3 linked regions of the Bombyx mori genome follow. The protein of the gene in region 1 purifies or fractionates together with the protein of each later gene. This does not show direct contact. Links are inferred from orthologs where the notes say so. Each region holds a gene or a part of one and is shown on either strand. Other genes may lie near its edges.

Region 1 (4,336 bases):
GAGGTGGGTGGCGCATTTACGTCGTAGATGTCTATGGGCTCCAGTAACCACTTAACACCAGGTGGGCTGTGAGCTCGTCCATCCATCTAAGCAATAAAAAAAAAAAAAAACATATATACATATATTATGTACATGTTTACGGTAACATTCAGGCCTGACTTTTACTTAATAGATATCTAATTGATTATTAGAAGAGAGGTGATTGCTTTAGTGAATTAATCATCTACATCTTAAAGCCAGCTAGAAAAATAACATATTATGCTAAAACGTAGTCGATGTATGAGTTCCGGTCACCGTTCCCGTCGAACCCGTCGCTTGCGACGAAGGACTCCACGCGTAAAGTAACCCACAGACACAACCCACTGGGTTTCTCGCCGGATCTTCTCAGTGGATCGCGTTTCCGATCCGGTGGTAGATTCTGCGAAGCACTGCTCTTGCTAGGGCTCGTCAAGTTTGAACCCCGTAAGCTCATCTACTTGTTAGGTTACGCTGACATAGCCTCTATAGGCTATCGGCTTAATTAGGAATATTAAAAACGGTGTATGAGAAAGGGCCGAGGGCAGGTCGCGTCGTTACCTAGTTGCTCGACGACCTCCGGGGGGAACACTCGGGAAGCAAACGCGCGACGGAAGATCGCGTTGAACTCGTTGTCGAGACCGCCGATGCCCATCTTGCCGAAGTCCCAGTCCGGATTGATGATCGACTGTCGCGGTTGCTTTCTGTTTCACAAAAATATATCATTGTTGTATTTGTTTTTCGTTTATACTATACTGTTTCGTACTGAAACAGATCTTTTCTTGTTTCGTATATTTTTTTAGTATCGAGTATTAGGTAATGAATATATTACATCTTCAAGACAACACAAGTCTTAACCTAGGCGCAGTAAGGTTCGATCTCGCCTGTAGACGGCCGACTAGCCAACCAGAAGCTTGCTAAGCAATCCCTCCAAGCCTACGGGCAGAGATCGCCATCGCATAGAATACATAACACACGCGTTCCGCGGCATTCATTAATTATAACAAAAACAAAAATTATCCAACGCAAGTCACGCGTAAACATAGAACCAGCGACAATATATTCATCATGTACCAGTCAAGGGACAGACGGTCCCACCTCCGGAAACGACGCTGAGCCCAGGGAGCACGAGGCAGTAGAAGGAAGGTGAATCGGTAAGTCTTCAGGCAATTATTTCGTTCCGTACTGTACATATACTTTTTTTACGTCAAAAAAAATAAGTATTCTTCTTCTTCTTTTTTTTCCACCTTATCCCACTAGGCGTGGTTGGCACACCTGATTTTTCTCTTCCATTCTCTTCTATCAGCCGTCATCTCAACACTCACTCCTCTTTCTCTCATATTGTCATTCACACACTCCAGGAAAACTCGAATAGCCCCTTAGGAAACTCGAATAGCCTCATAGGAAACACGAATAGCCCCTTAGGAAACTCGTATAGCCCCTTAGGAAACTCGTATAGCCCCTTAGGAAACTCGAATAGCCCCTTAGGAAACTCGTATAGCCCCTTAGGAAACTCGAATAGCCCCTTAGGAAACTCGAATAGCCCCTTAGCTGCCAGCGAGGTATCAAAAGTAGGGAAAAAACACCAACAAAATAAAAGGCGTTGCTAACCGGACAACCTTGTTCCAAGCCTCGATGATTTTATTATCGAGATGCAAAAACATGTATATATGGCGTCAATTTTTTTTAACTACTAAATGTTGGCGAACTTACTGTATCAACTAGTGTGGTAGACATCAGGAAACTTAATGCCGCTACCCACCTTGAGACAGTTTTAAGTCTCCATTTCATCAATAGCGACAATTATTATAAAGGTCCCTTATTCCCGATGATCCATACTCACCCTTTAGCCTTCCCGATTAGGTTCAGAGACGAATTCTCCGCCTTGTCGAACTGCACCGAGGCGTCGGGCAGCAGCCGGCCCATCCGCACCCGGCGGGGCACGGCGTTGGCTCCGGCCGCTAAAGCTTGCACATCGACGGCTGCACACACAACATCATACATCCAATTATAAAACCACTTCGATAAAGCGGCACGACACGAGAACCCTCTCATCGTGGCCGCCGGTAACTACATTCCCGATCCTGCGGACAGTATGGAAAGCAGTCGACGTCGCCCAAAACACGTCATCTCGGATCCTCCCGATCCACTAACGGTGCTTCTAGGTACTTCAAGCACCGGTCACCGTTCTCGTCGAACCCGTCGCTTGCGACGAAGGGCTCGACGAGTAAATTAACTCCCAGACACAGCCCACTGAGTTTCTCGCCGGATCTTCTCAGTGGGTCGCGTTTCCGATCCGGTGGTAGATTCTGCGAAGCACGACTCTTGCTAGGGTTCGTGTTAGCAACGTCATCAGGTTTGAGCCCCGTGAGCTCACCTACAAAAGTTAGGGTTACGCTGACATAGCCTCTCAAGGCTCTCAGCTTAGGTAGGAAAAAAAAAAAAAAAAAAAAAAAAAACAATTATAAACCGTATATTCAATGAGAATTGGGGAATGTGGCAATTTGGGGAATTCTATTTTAGGCATTTTATGACCTGGTAACTAAGACCTTTAAGGTCAAGTCTTATTTAAATTTTAATGAAAACTTTTTTTATATGAAAAATGATATTATGAAATGAAATGAAGTTGTTTAATGTGAAACAGGGCATGAAACGAAATGAGATGATATGGGATGAAAGATAATCTCAGTAAAATGGTGGGTTTATTTACTGAGACTTTTTCAGTGGACGTTTTTGGAGGATCCCGAAAAGTTACGTTCAGCGGCTTTGTTTCATTTTTCCACATTTGTGTACTTTCACAGATACTAAACTGGTACTTTACTGGTGGTAGGACCTCTTGTAAGTCCGCGCGGGTAGGTACCACCGCCTAGCCTATTTCTGCCGTGAAGCAGTAATGCGTTTCGGTTTGAAGGGTAGGGCAGCCGTTGTAACTATACTGAGATCTTAGAACTTATATCTCAAGGTGGGTGGCGCATTTACGTTGTAGATGTCCATGGGCTCCAGTAACCACTTAACACCAGGTGGGCTGTGAGCTTCATGTCTCAAGGTGGGTTATTTCATTCACGTTGTTGAAGTCCACGTGCCCCGATAACAACTTACCACCGGGCCGTGAGCTCGTCTATATTCCAATAACAAACATAAAAAAACTCACCTTCCAAATTTTTTACGATCAACGACAAGACTTTCTTCTCTTGGAACAAGAAAGCCAGCTGTTGTCCGACAGTAAAAACTTGATTGGCGAACTGAATAAGGAAATCTCTGGCCATTTGTTCCGAATCATATGGATCCGTTGATGTTCTGGAAGAGGAAATACATTCCAACAATAATAAAAAAAAAAATCCTAGTTATCATAGTTAACAAACAACACTTTTTAAGTAAATTAGAAAAATACAATAGATTTTTATTGATCAGTTATTTTCGAAGGCGTTTTTGCATCATATGCATGTGTTTATTAAATCTTGTGTGTGTTTAATCACATCTAGAACTCGCGGATAGCTATGCCAAAATAATGAACGTTTTTTTTCTATCGGTAACTTTACGTATGAAATATTTATGCAAGTGGCAAAATTCTTTAGTTGAATTAAATGCACTTCACTCTTCCTTCCTTTGAATCCCCAAATCTCAGGATCGTCAGTGCTATGTCAAAGGCACAAAATATATTCCATTGAGACAGCACAAATTTATAGATATTAGGTTTATTAAACTTTAAGCATTCCATTTTTCTTTACTAACAAGATCTTTGTATGTTCGTTCTAATTTCATACTTTATCTGCTATTATAATGATATTGGGTTGCATTAATTACTATGCTCATTTAATCACAGAGTTGAAAATAAATTGCTCCACCCAATCTATTAAAAACAAGGAAATTTTAAAAATTATTTTCAAATGATGACTGAAAAGTTACGTAACATCAATAAGTACTAATCAGATTGAATTCACACATACGTTTTCTTCATCATGAAATCGGCTTCCAACGTTACGCTGCAAAGGCATTCAGCACTAGAGGGTTTGAAAGGCTTCACGTCAATGGTCTGCATAGTAAAAAAAATATACATGGTTTATACATAGTTTTTTGTTCTTATCAAATTTCTTTATTTTCAGCCACGGACTTCCACCGCTGAACATTTGCCTCCCCCATTATATTATTATCTAATCGCGCTATTTAATTATACGTATACAAGTCTAGCGTGTATTTACATTTCGACTAATTAAAACATTTTGTATGAAAAAATCAGATTTGTTTTTAAAAATATTATATTATATGATGATAGGTGAGAAAAAAAAAACTATTATTTAAAAGTAGTTTTATTTATTTTAAG
Region 2 (4,336 bases), on another chromosome or scaffold:
AGTGGGCTGTGTCTGTTAATTTACTGGCCGAGCCCTTCGTCGCAAGCGACAGGTTCGACGAGAACCAGTGCTTGGGGTACCTAAAAGCACCGTTAGTGGATCGGGAGGATCCGAAATGAAGTGTTTTGGGCGACGTCGACTGTTTACCATTTGATCCGCAGGATCGGCTATGTAGTTTTCGGCGGTCACGATGAGAGGATTCTCATTGTCGAAGGGGGCATCAGTCTATCACATTTCTTAGTTACACGGTTGTGTTGAATCTAGCGAAACATAACATGCCCTTCATTCTCTTGATACGGAAAATTCCATTTTACCAACAGATTTTAGTGAATGACGTCTCACTGTAAATTAAAGAGTGTCTCTTTTCATTTGTATATTGAAAGTCTTTGGGTAGGTTACTAAAATCAAATTAGTCTACAAATCAAGCTCCATTTATTGAAAGGTTCCTATTGAGTGTTGAGAGGTTGAACTATCACAATATAGTTTTGGAGCGTACAAGGAAAGAAGTCTTTAAAAGTTAATCACGCCTTCACCATTGCAAAAAAAAAAGACTGGTAGCGGTATTGCCGCTGTGGTATCTATGCTTATCACTCGTCTATTACGTAACGTTGAAGGCTTAAAGACGCAAACAGCTACGTTCGTGAGCACTTTTTTAACGTCAATCCACAAATGGTACGGTTATACTTGTATGTAGGTACATTTGTTTCTATCACGGATTTTTTAATATGGTTCTTTTTTTGTAAAGCAAATTATTATAAGGCGATGGCTTCAGGTACTTCATATAATTTATTGTTTTTTTCAACTCTGCTGCGTTTGATTCTATAAATAGACTTGATAATTGCGGGTCGCATAGAGAGTAAGCGCGCTGTGGGACAGAACACCAGCCTGATGGTCAGATCTAGTAAGGGAAGCAATTGGTGGTAGTCAGTACCGTGCGCTCCGTGCCACTCATGATCGAACATTGTGGAGAAACATCACATGTGGTCGCGATCTTCAGCAGTGAGGGAATGACATAGAAGAAGATAACCAGTGACAGTACGTCTGTGCAATAAAGCTATCCTATAAAGTCAATGATTATCTAGAAGATTGCACAAAGTGGGAATGAGTTGCTCGCTCCGGGCATTTCAATATTGCAATAATTGTTACCTTATAATACTCATTGTAAAACTTAATATTTAAAAAAATAATCTAATATTAAAAAAAAAAAGACGTGCCCACTGAGTTTCTTGCCAGTTCTTCTCAGGACGGAGGCTAGTTTTTGTGAATTGGCGGTAGTTCTTTTTGACGTTCAACAAGTAAGTATGTACTTTCATTAATGTTGAATAATTTTTTTTGATTTAATTTGACATTATATCAGTATTTGCGCAACAAAACCTTAGCGAAGTCGATCAGGTTGTGGTATTCGATGTAATTCCCGCCGCCGACGAGGAAGACCACAGCGTCGGTGGGCGGCTGTTGTCGTGCGGAGCGCGCGCGACCGGCCGAGTCCGTGCGCGCCGCGCGGGGGTCCAGCCACGTGAGCTCGGCGGCGCTCTCGCTGCCACTCAGAGCGCTCTCCACTATGCGGCTCACGGGAAGTTTCTGCATTCATTCGTTACATTTGAATATGCATTTATTACTGGTGGTAGGACCTCTTGTGAGTCCGCGCGGGTGGGTACCACCACCCTGACTTTTTATGCCGTGAAGCAGTAATGCGTTTCGGTTTGAAGGGTGGGGCAGCCGTTGTAACTATACTTGAGACCTTAGAACTTATATCTCAAGGTGGGTGGCGCATTTACGTTGTGGATGTCTATAAGCTCCAGTAACCACTTAACACCAGGTGGGCTGTAAGCTCGTTCACACATCGAAGCATCGAAGCATGATAGATCTATGCGTGTAGAATTTCAAACACGAGGTCCACCATTCTGAGTATTCACTAAACAGTTTTCAGCTGTTTTCAAAAGCTCTGACTTGAGGTTACTTAATTTTAGATTTTTCTTAATTTATTGCAAAGAATTTTTGCTACACCCTGTATAGTACTCACGTGTTTTTTGACAACTAAATTTTTGACGCCCTCCATTACAAAGGATGAGCCTTGGGATACAAGTTTAGAGAACATGGATACTGTTTTGGTGCCGCCGCCTTCGTACTGATTTGACATTTTTGTGAAACCCCTGTAAAAGTATTATAATAAATAATAATAAATAAATAAATATTTACTAACAATCACGCCACGTTAACTGGTCCCGTGATAAGTTCGTACAGATCTTGTGTTACAGGTACCAGATAGCGGATATAAATGTAAGATTTTTATTATAAACATACATATATTTAATATACATCCATAACCCCGCAAAAGACATTTATATTTATCATACAAATATCATCCCTTGGCGGGATTCGAACCCGCGACCCCCTTGTGTAGTGACCATGTCACTTAACACTACACCAGACGGCCGTTTAAATTATAAGTATATCTACAGTAGAAAAATTACAGCAGTGTGTTTTTTTGAAAATATATACTAGATAACGCCGGTCAGGTGTCCCAGAATTTTAAGGCTTCAACGTTTCAACCAAAAATGTTTGTATATTTTATTAAATATTCCATATAATAAGAAAGTTAGGATAATGGGAAATATTCTACAAATACAGTCTGAACACAACCGAATTTTGAATGATTTTATACACTTGAAAATTTTTTACAAGCTTAATCCAACGAGGATGAATGTGTTAAAGTATTATGAGCAAGACATAAGCTGCAGTAGAAGTATTTTCAGATTTTAAAATAACGCTGGAAGCGGAAAATCTAGGATAAAACATTTGTGCCTAAAAGACGTTTAGTGCATAGTTAAGTAGCCTGGATTATATAAGCAAAAAATTCATCGCCGGTCATGAAGGGCTCGATAGACGAAGGGCTCTGCAAGTAAATTAACCCACAGACAGCCCACTGAGTTTCTCGCCGGATCTTCTCAGTGGGTCGCGTTTCCGATCCGGTGGTGGATTCTGCGAAGCACGGCTCTTGTTAGGACTAGTGTTAGCAACATTGTCAGGTTTGAGCCTCGTGACTTCACTTACTAGTTAAGGCTACGCTGAAATGGTCTCTCCAGACCAACAGCTTAGAGGGGAAAAAAATTTTTTGTAGACTTACTTCCACCGTTTCATGTAAGATAGGGCTTTGACATCGCAGTTGGCCGCCACTAGAGCTCCTTCAAACTTTTCATATTCATCGTCAGTGAATTGCGACGTGCACAGATAGTAAATAATGAACAGCCTCATTTTGTCCTCGGGTGTACCCGCACTGGGATCAGTTATAAGATCCATAACCGCTTTGGTTTCCACGGCGGTGCTTTTACTCATTATTTTTTCCTCTAATTCGAAAAATGAATCTAGTCTTCTGGACTTAATGGCATTAAGAATTGCTGTAAGAATATTGGAGAAATAATATTGAACAGTTTATTTTGTGTCAAATCAATCAGAATTTCTTTGAGATAACGAATCTGTTTACCTGTGGCGATAGTAGTGTGCATATCAATCAGCCGTTTCTTTTCCATGAGTTGAGGTAATGAGTTCACCGCGTTGGTAAGCCGTTGAGTATTGTCACTGACCATGCTCAGGGCCAAGTCACTTTCTGCATCGAGACCCATAGAGCTCTTCAGTTTCTTTACTTCGGCTTCTGAACTCCTTTGGAATTATTGGTTAATTTAATTGGTTTATTCCCATATTTTATTACATGGTATATTAAAATGTAATTTTTTTATTGCTTAGTTAGGTGGACATACTCACGGCCCACCTGGTGTTACTGAAGGTTACTGAAGCCCATAGACATCTACAACGTGAATGCCGCCACCCACCTTGAGACATGAGTTGTAAGGGTCTCAGTATAGTTACAACGGTTGCCTCACCCTTCAAACCGAAACGCATTACTGCTTCACGGCAGAAATCAGTATAGTTACAACGGCTGCCCCACCTTTCAAACCGAAACGCAATACTGCTTCACGGCAGAAATAGGCAGGGTGGTGGTAATTACCCGTGCGGACCCACAAGAAGTCCTATCACCAGTTTCGTCAATGCTATATTTCCATCCATCAACTGAAGTTAAACACCAGCTACGATCAATTTATTAGGTCGGCTCTAGTACACCCGATCCCTAAAAAAGGCGATCGCTCAGATCCGTCCAACTACAGGCCTATCGCTATCACCTCCTTACTCTCCAAAATTATGGAATCCATAATCAACCGCCAGCTCATGGGCTACCTGGAAGAGCACCAGCTGATCAGCGACCGCCAATATGGCTTCCGCAAAGGCCGATCAGCTGGTGATCTTTTGGCTTTACTAACTCACCGTTGGGCGCAGGCGG
Region 3 (4,336 bases), on another chromosome or scaffold:
TCAGCAGAAGGTCCAACAGAGAGGGCTCGTGCCCCTCAATATCTGGGACACGGGTGGGCTGTGTCACCAGCTGGGAGAAGCCGTAGGCCAGGGCGAAATCGTAGGCAGCCCGACCCGGGAGGTCAGTGGTTCTGGACCCCAACCACTCTTGGTGGTGAGCGTTAAAGTCTCCAAGAACCACCACCTCCGCAGATGGGTACTGCTCAAGCACGCGGTTAGTCCCCTCTTGCACATGCTCTATCAGAGCTGAACCTGCATCACTGCTGTGGGACCTGTACAGGCACGCGTAGACTCGGGTACAACCCCCGTGATCTACGCGCAGCCACAAGATGGACAGGTCCCGTTGTTCGAGGCCTCGTAGACGGCGACAACAGACATCAGCCCGGACGAATACACACACCCCGGCTTTACGCAGGAAGTTGTGCTCCAATACGTAGCCGGGGTATTCAAGGTAAGAAGTGTCATCCGGAGCAGATATCTGTGTCTCCGTCAGAAAAAGGAGGGCAGGCTGCGCCGTCTCAAGATGGTGGTGTACGGCGTCGAGGTTACTATGTAGGCCCCTTACATTGCTGAAATCCACATTAAATGTGGAATGGGGCATCGCCGACAAAACCCTTTTCCTTTTTTTAACTGTCATTTTATTATTATTTTTGGAGAGTGGGATTGGGTGGGGTAGGAAGTTCGAGGCAAAAACATGACAATACCTGAATAAAGCGCGGAACACAGTACGTGCTTGACCACGGGTTGCGTGAGAGACTGACGCAGGGCATGGAAGGGCCCCCAGTCCACCCTGCGTGCGATCGCCGGGATCCACTCCGGTCTCCGACTCCGGCACGACGACCGCACGACAGGATTTTACACCGGTTGGCGGGACAGCTTCCCGGGGCGGAGTTTAGTAGTGACACCCGGGTTCAGGTCCCCAACTGACCGGCGGGCGGCGGCGAACACCGTTTCACTGGGTCTCCCTATACCCCCGTCAAACAATCACGTCCCGCGAGCTTGCACGCACGTCTGCTCCGCATGTTCCAGGCATCATCAAGATTCACCCCGAACAAGGAAGAGGAAAGGGAAGGAATAAAACTGGCTCTCCAACCCACACGCCGGAACACAGCTAGGCTATTTGGCGGCGGACTCTAGTTGGAGGGTGGTCGCCAGCCAGTCGGACTATGTCCTACCACCGATTATGTATTCGGCTCCCGTTTAGCACCACCCAGGGGTCACTTGTAGGGAATCGTGGGTTAAACCTACGGAAGCGGGAAGCAATCGACCCCCAAAATCTACCCGACTAGTGTTCTCCACACGAACATGTGGAGTCTTGGAAGTCAAAGTTTAGTTAGTTAACAACAACTCTAGGACAGGGGTGACCAATAAACTTCCCGCGACGGATATATTAATCAGTAAATAGTTTTGGAGATAAATACAGAGTTTGGATAATAGAATTCTTTATCAAAACAACATTTGTATCAGAGCTACCGGATTTAGAGAGGGAGTACGTACCACCGAGGCGGATGTACTGGCGTTAGGGCTGACGTACGACGGCGCGGCGTTCTCTCGCACTCCGGCCCGCATCATCGGGTCCAGTGGCTCCGGAAGCGGGATGCAGTTAGCCAGGCGGGAGTACTCCACGTCCATGCTGCGGATGAACGGGGAACGGAGGGCCTTGCGAGCGGAATCCGGGTCCTCTTCATCGTAGGCCTGGAGCAGCTGATCCAACGTCTGCACTTCGGCCATTTCGCAGTGACCGCCCCATTCCTTAGAAAGGTTTTGGAAGAATCTAAATATTAATACGTGACGCAAAAAATTTTAACCCCTTTTTACACGAAAATTGCGCGGACGGAGCAGTATGAAATTTCCCACACTTATACAGATATAGAGAAGGAGTACAGAATGCTATTTATTTTTAAATTATGCTTTAATAATATATTAAATCAATAAATAAAAACATTACACACACTACCGTGTATTTGACAAGCACACACATGCATACTGTTTGTTTATTTTCAAACTTTTCTTTATTTATATAGTCTGTGGTCAAATTGAGAATAGATTAAATATTGTTTGTCTTTATTAATATTTGTCAAAAGTGTATGTAGTGTTGGCGAAGTATAATAGTCTGTGATAATAGAATCATAATAGTACAAACTTATAATTTCAATTAATTATAGTCGAATTTCGACTACCGGGCGACCACTAGTTAAATTTCGATCGATTACAAATCTCGATACGATCGATACAAAAACTCAGTATTGGCTTAAAAACCAAACATAAAAGCTTGATGTATTTTTTTTAATATACTAAAATTACATTATTACTGATACGTTTACCGCTGTTCTGCCTATTTCTGTGACGAAACAGTCATGTTGAAGGGTGGGGCAGCCGATATATGTATATTATCTACATTTATGAGATTAGTCCTTAGATGCTACGTCTCAAGATGAGACTTTGGCATTGACGTTATGGTATCTAAGAGTTCCAAGTGCAAATCAACATGGAGTGGGCGGGGACATAGTTCTCGTTGGTACAATAAAAAAAAGGCCAATTATAATAAATCAATTATAAAATAAGGCAAAATATTAATACTTGCATAACTACATAATAATACCAACAGGATCCCTTAATAGAAGAGTAGGCTTAGTTGTCAATGATCGTACGCGGTGATGATATTATTTTGACTGATTATCGAAATTCGACCATAAGCACCGGCACTTCAAGATTTAGGTTCGACTAGACTACGCAGTCTATTTATCCGGGAGATATAAAGAAAAACCTTTTTTTTATGTAGTTTTTATATAAAACCTTTATTTTTACAAAAAAAACAGGTTTTTTCTAGGACATCTACAATGTAACTTCAGAACAACAGAACAAAAAAAACAACTTCAGAAATAAGTTTCTTTTTATTGCTTAAATGGATGGACGAGCTCACAGCCCACCTGATGTTAAGTGGTTACTGGAGCCCATAGACATCTACAACGTAAATTCGCCACCCAATTTGAGATACAAGTTCTAAAGTCTCAGTATAATTACAACGGCTGCCCCGCCCTTCAAACCGAAAAGCATTACTGATTCACGGCAGAAATAGACGGGGTGGTGGTACCTGCCCGTGCGGACTCACAAAAGGTCCTACCACCCGTATGAAACACACAGTTTATACACAAGGACGTTACTTACGCTAGCACCATACTCGTTTATTCATTATTTACGTTATAGTCAAGCTACATCATGCCTGCAGAGCTCTAACACCATCCTGGCTGATCCTTTGCTCGCCCACCTGTCCTGGTGAAACTCGAAAGGCCTCCGGGCCATAACTAATCCTTCAATCCTAAAAAAAAAAGCTCTAACATTGCACAACATTGAATACGATTACCTTGTAGCTCTTCTCGGCAGCGACGGTATCGCCGCGGGCCAGTTGTACCAGCACGATGGCCACGCACAGTCTGCCCACGGCCGGCAAGTTATTCGCTTCAAGATGGAACCCGATCTCGCGACGCAAATTATCGACAGCCTCGTCGTAGCTGAAAGCATATCAAACACTACTCAAACACTAATCTTTTAAAACCCTCTTGACTCGAGAACAGACCACGACATTGGTAAGTAATATAAAGAGTACAGCTTTGAAGTCGTCGTGGCCTAAAGGATAAGACGCCCGGTGCATTCGTATCCAGCGATGCATCAGTGTTCGAATCCCGCTGGCACGTACCAGTTTTTCTAAATAAATACGTACTAAACAAATGTTCACGGTTTACTTCCACGGTGAGGGAATAATATCGTGTAGTAAAAATTAAACCCGCAAAATTATAATTTGCGTAATTACATACCGGTGGTAGGACCTCTTGTGAGTCCACACGGGTAGGTACCACCGCCCTGCTTATTTCTGCCGTGAAGCAGTAATGCGTTTCGGTTGGAAGGGCGGGGCAGCCATTGTAACTATACTGAGACCTTAGAACTTATCTCAAGGTAGGTGGTAGCATTTACGTTGTAGATGTCTATGGGCTCCAATTGCCTTATGCTTCAATTGTATAGTAAGTATAGTGGCTGTTTCAACGCTACAACCTGTAACGCGTGACTGTTCCGTGGCAGAAACAGGCAGGTTGGTGATACCCACTCGTGCGGACTTACAATCAACCCTATCACTAGTAACGGTCAATTTCGATCAAAAAGTTTTTGCTAGTTAGTTTCGATTTATGTATCGTTTACCTTTTATTCTTAAAAGCTATAAATTAAATTATATAAGCTATAAAATAAATTAATATTATAAATTAAGTAAATTGGGTAAAACATTCGTTAAAACTATACCTCGCATTTTCAAAAGCCAAATCAAATACCCAAACAAACCATA

What was found. Proteins that work in one complex are often made in the same cells at the same time.
Region 2: the proteins of vesicle-fusing ATPase 1 (region 1) and protein sly1 homolog purify together in Homo sapiens (affinity purification with mass spectrometry; 3 studies listed by BioGRID and IntAct, with this or other methods). This does not show direct contact. The link is inferred for Bombyx mori from reciprocal best matches to the Homo sapiens genes NSF and SCFD1.
Region 3: the proteins of vesicle-fusing ATPase 1 (region 1) and gamma-soluble NSF attachment protein purify together in Homo sapiens (affinity purification with mass spectrometry; 3 studies listed by BioGRID and IntAct, with this or other methods). This does not show direct contact. The link is inferred for Bombyx mori from reciprocal best matches to the Homo sapiens genes NSF and NAPG.

Annotation. Positions count from the first base shown.
Region 1 is NC_085128.1:5,784,228-5,788,563, forward strand, and holds part of vesicle-fusing ATPase 1, read right to left. Parts: intron 4,049-4,336; coding exon 3,963-4,048; intron 3,313-3,962; coding exon 3,167-3,312; intron 1,998-3,166; coding exon 1,859-1,997; intron 720-1,858; coding exon 577-719; intron 1-576.
Region 2 is NC_085118.1:7,853,392-7,857,727, forward strand, and holds part of protein sly1 homolog, read right to left. Parts: intron 3,661-4,336; coding exon 3,485-3,660; intron 3,399-3,484; coding exon 3,128-3,398; intron 2,154-3,127; coding exon 2,024-2,153; intron 1,582-2,023; coding exon 1,375-1,581; intron 1-1,374. UniProt on the Homo sapiens protein: Plays a role in SNARE-pin assembly and Golgi-to-ER retrograde transport via its interaction with COG4. Involved in vesicular transport between the endoplasmic reticulum and the Golgi.
Region 3 is NC_085107.1:1,360,033-1,364,368, forward strand, and holds part of gamma-soluble NSF attachment protein, read right to left. Parts: intron 3,513-4,336; coding exon 3,365-3,512; intron 1,753-3,364; coding exon 1,498-1,752; intron 1-1,497. UniProt on the Homo sapiens protein: Required for vesicular transport between the endoplasmic reticulum and the Golgi apparatus.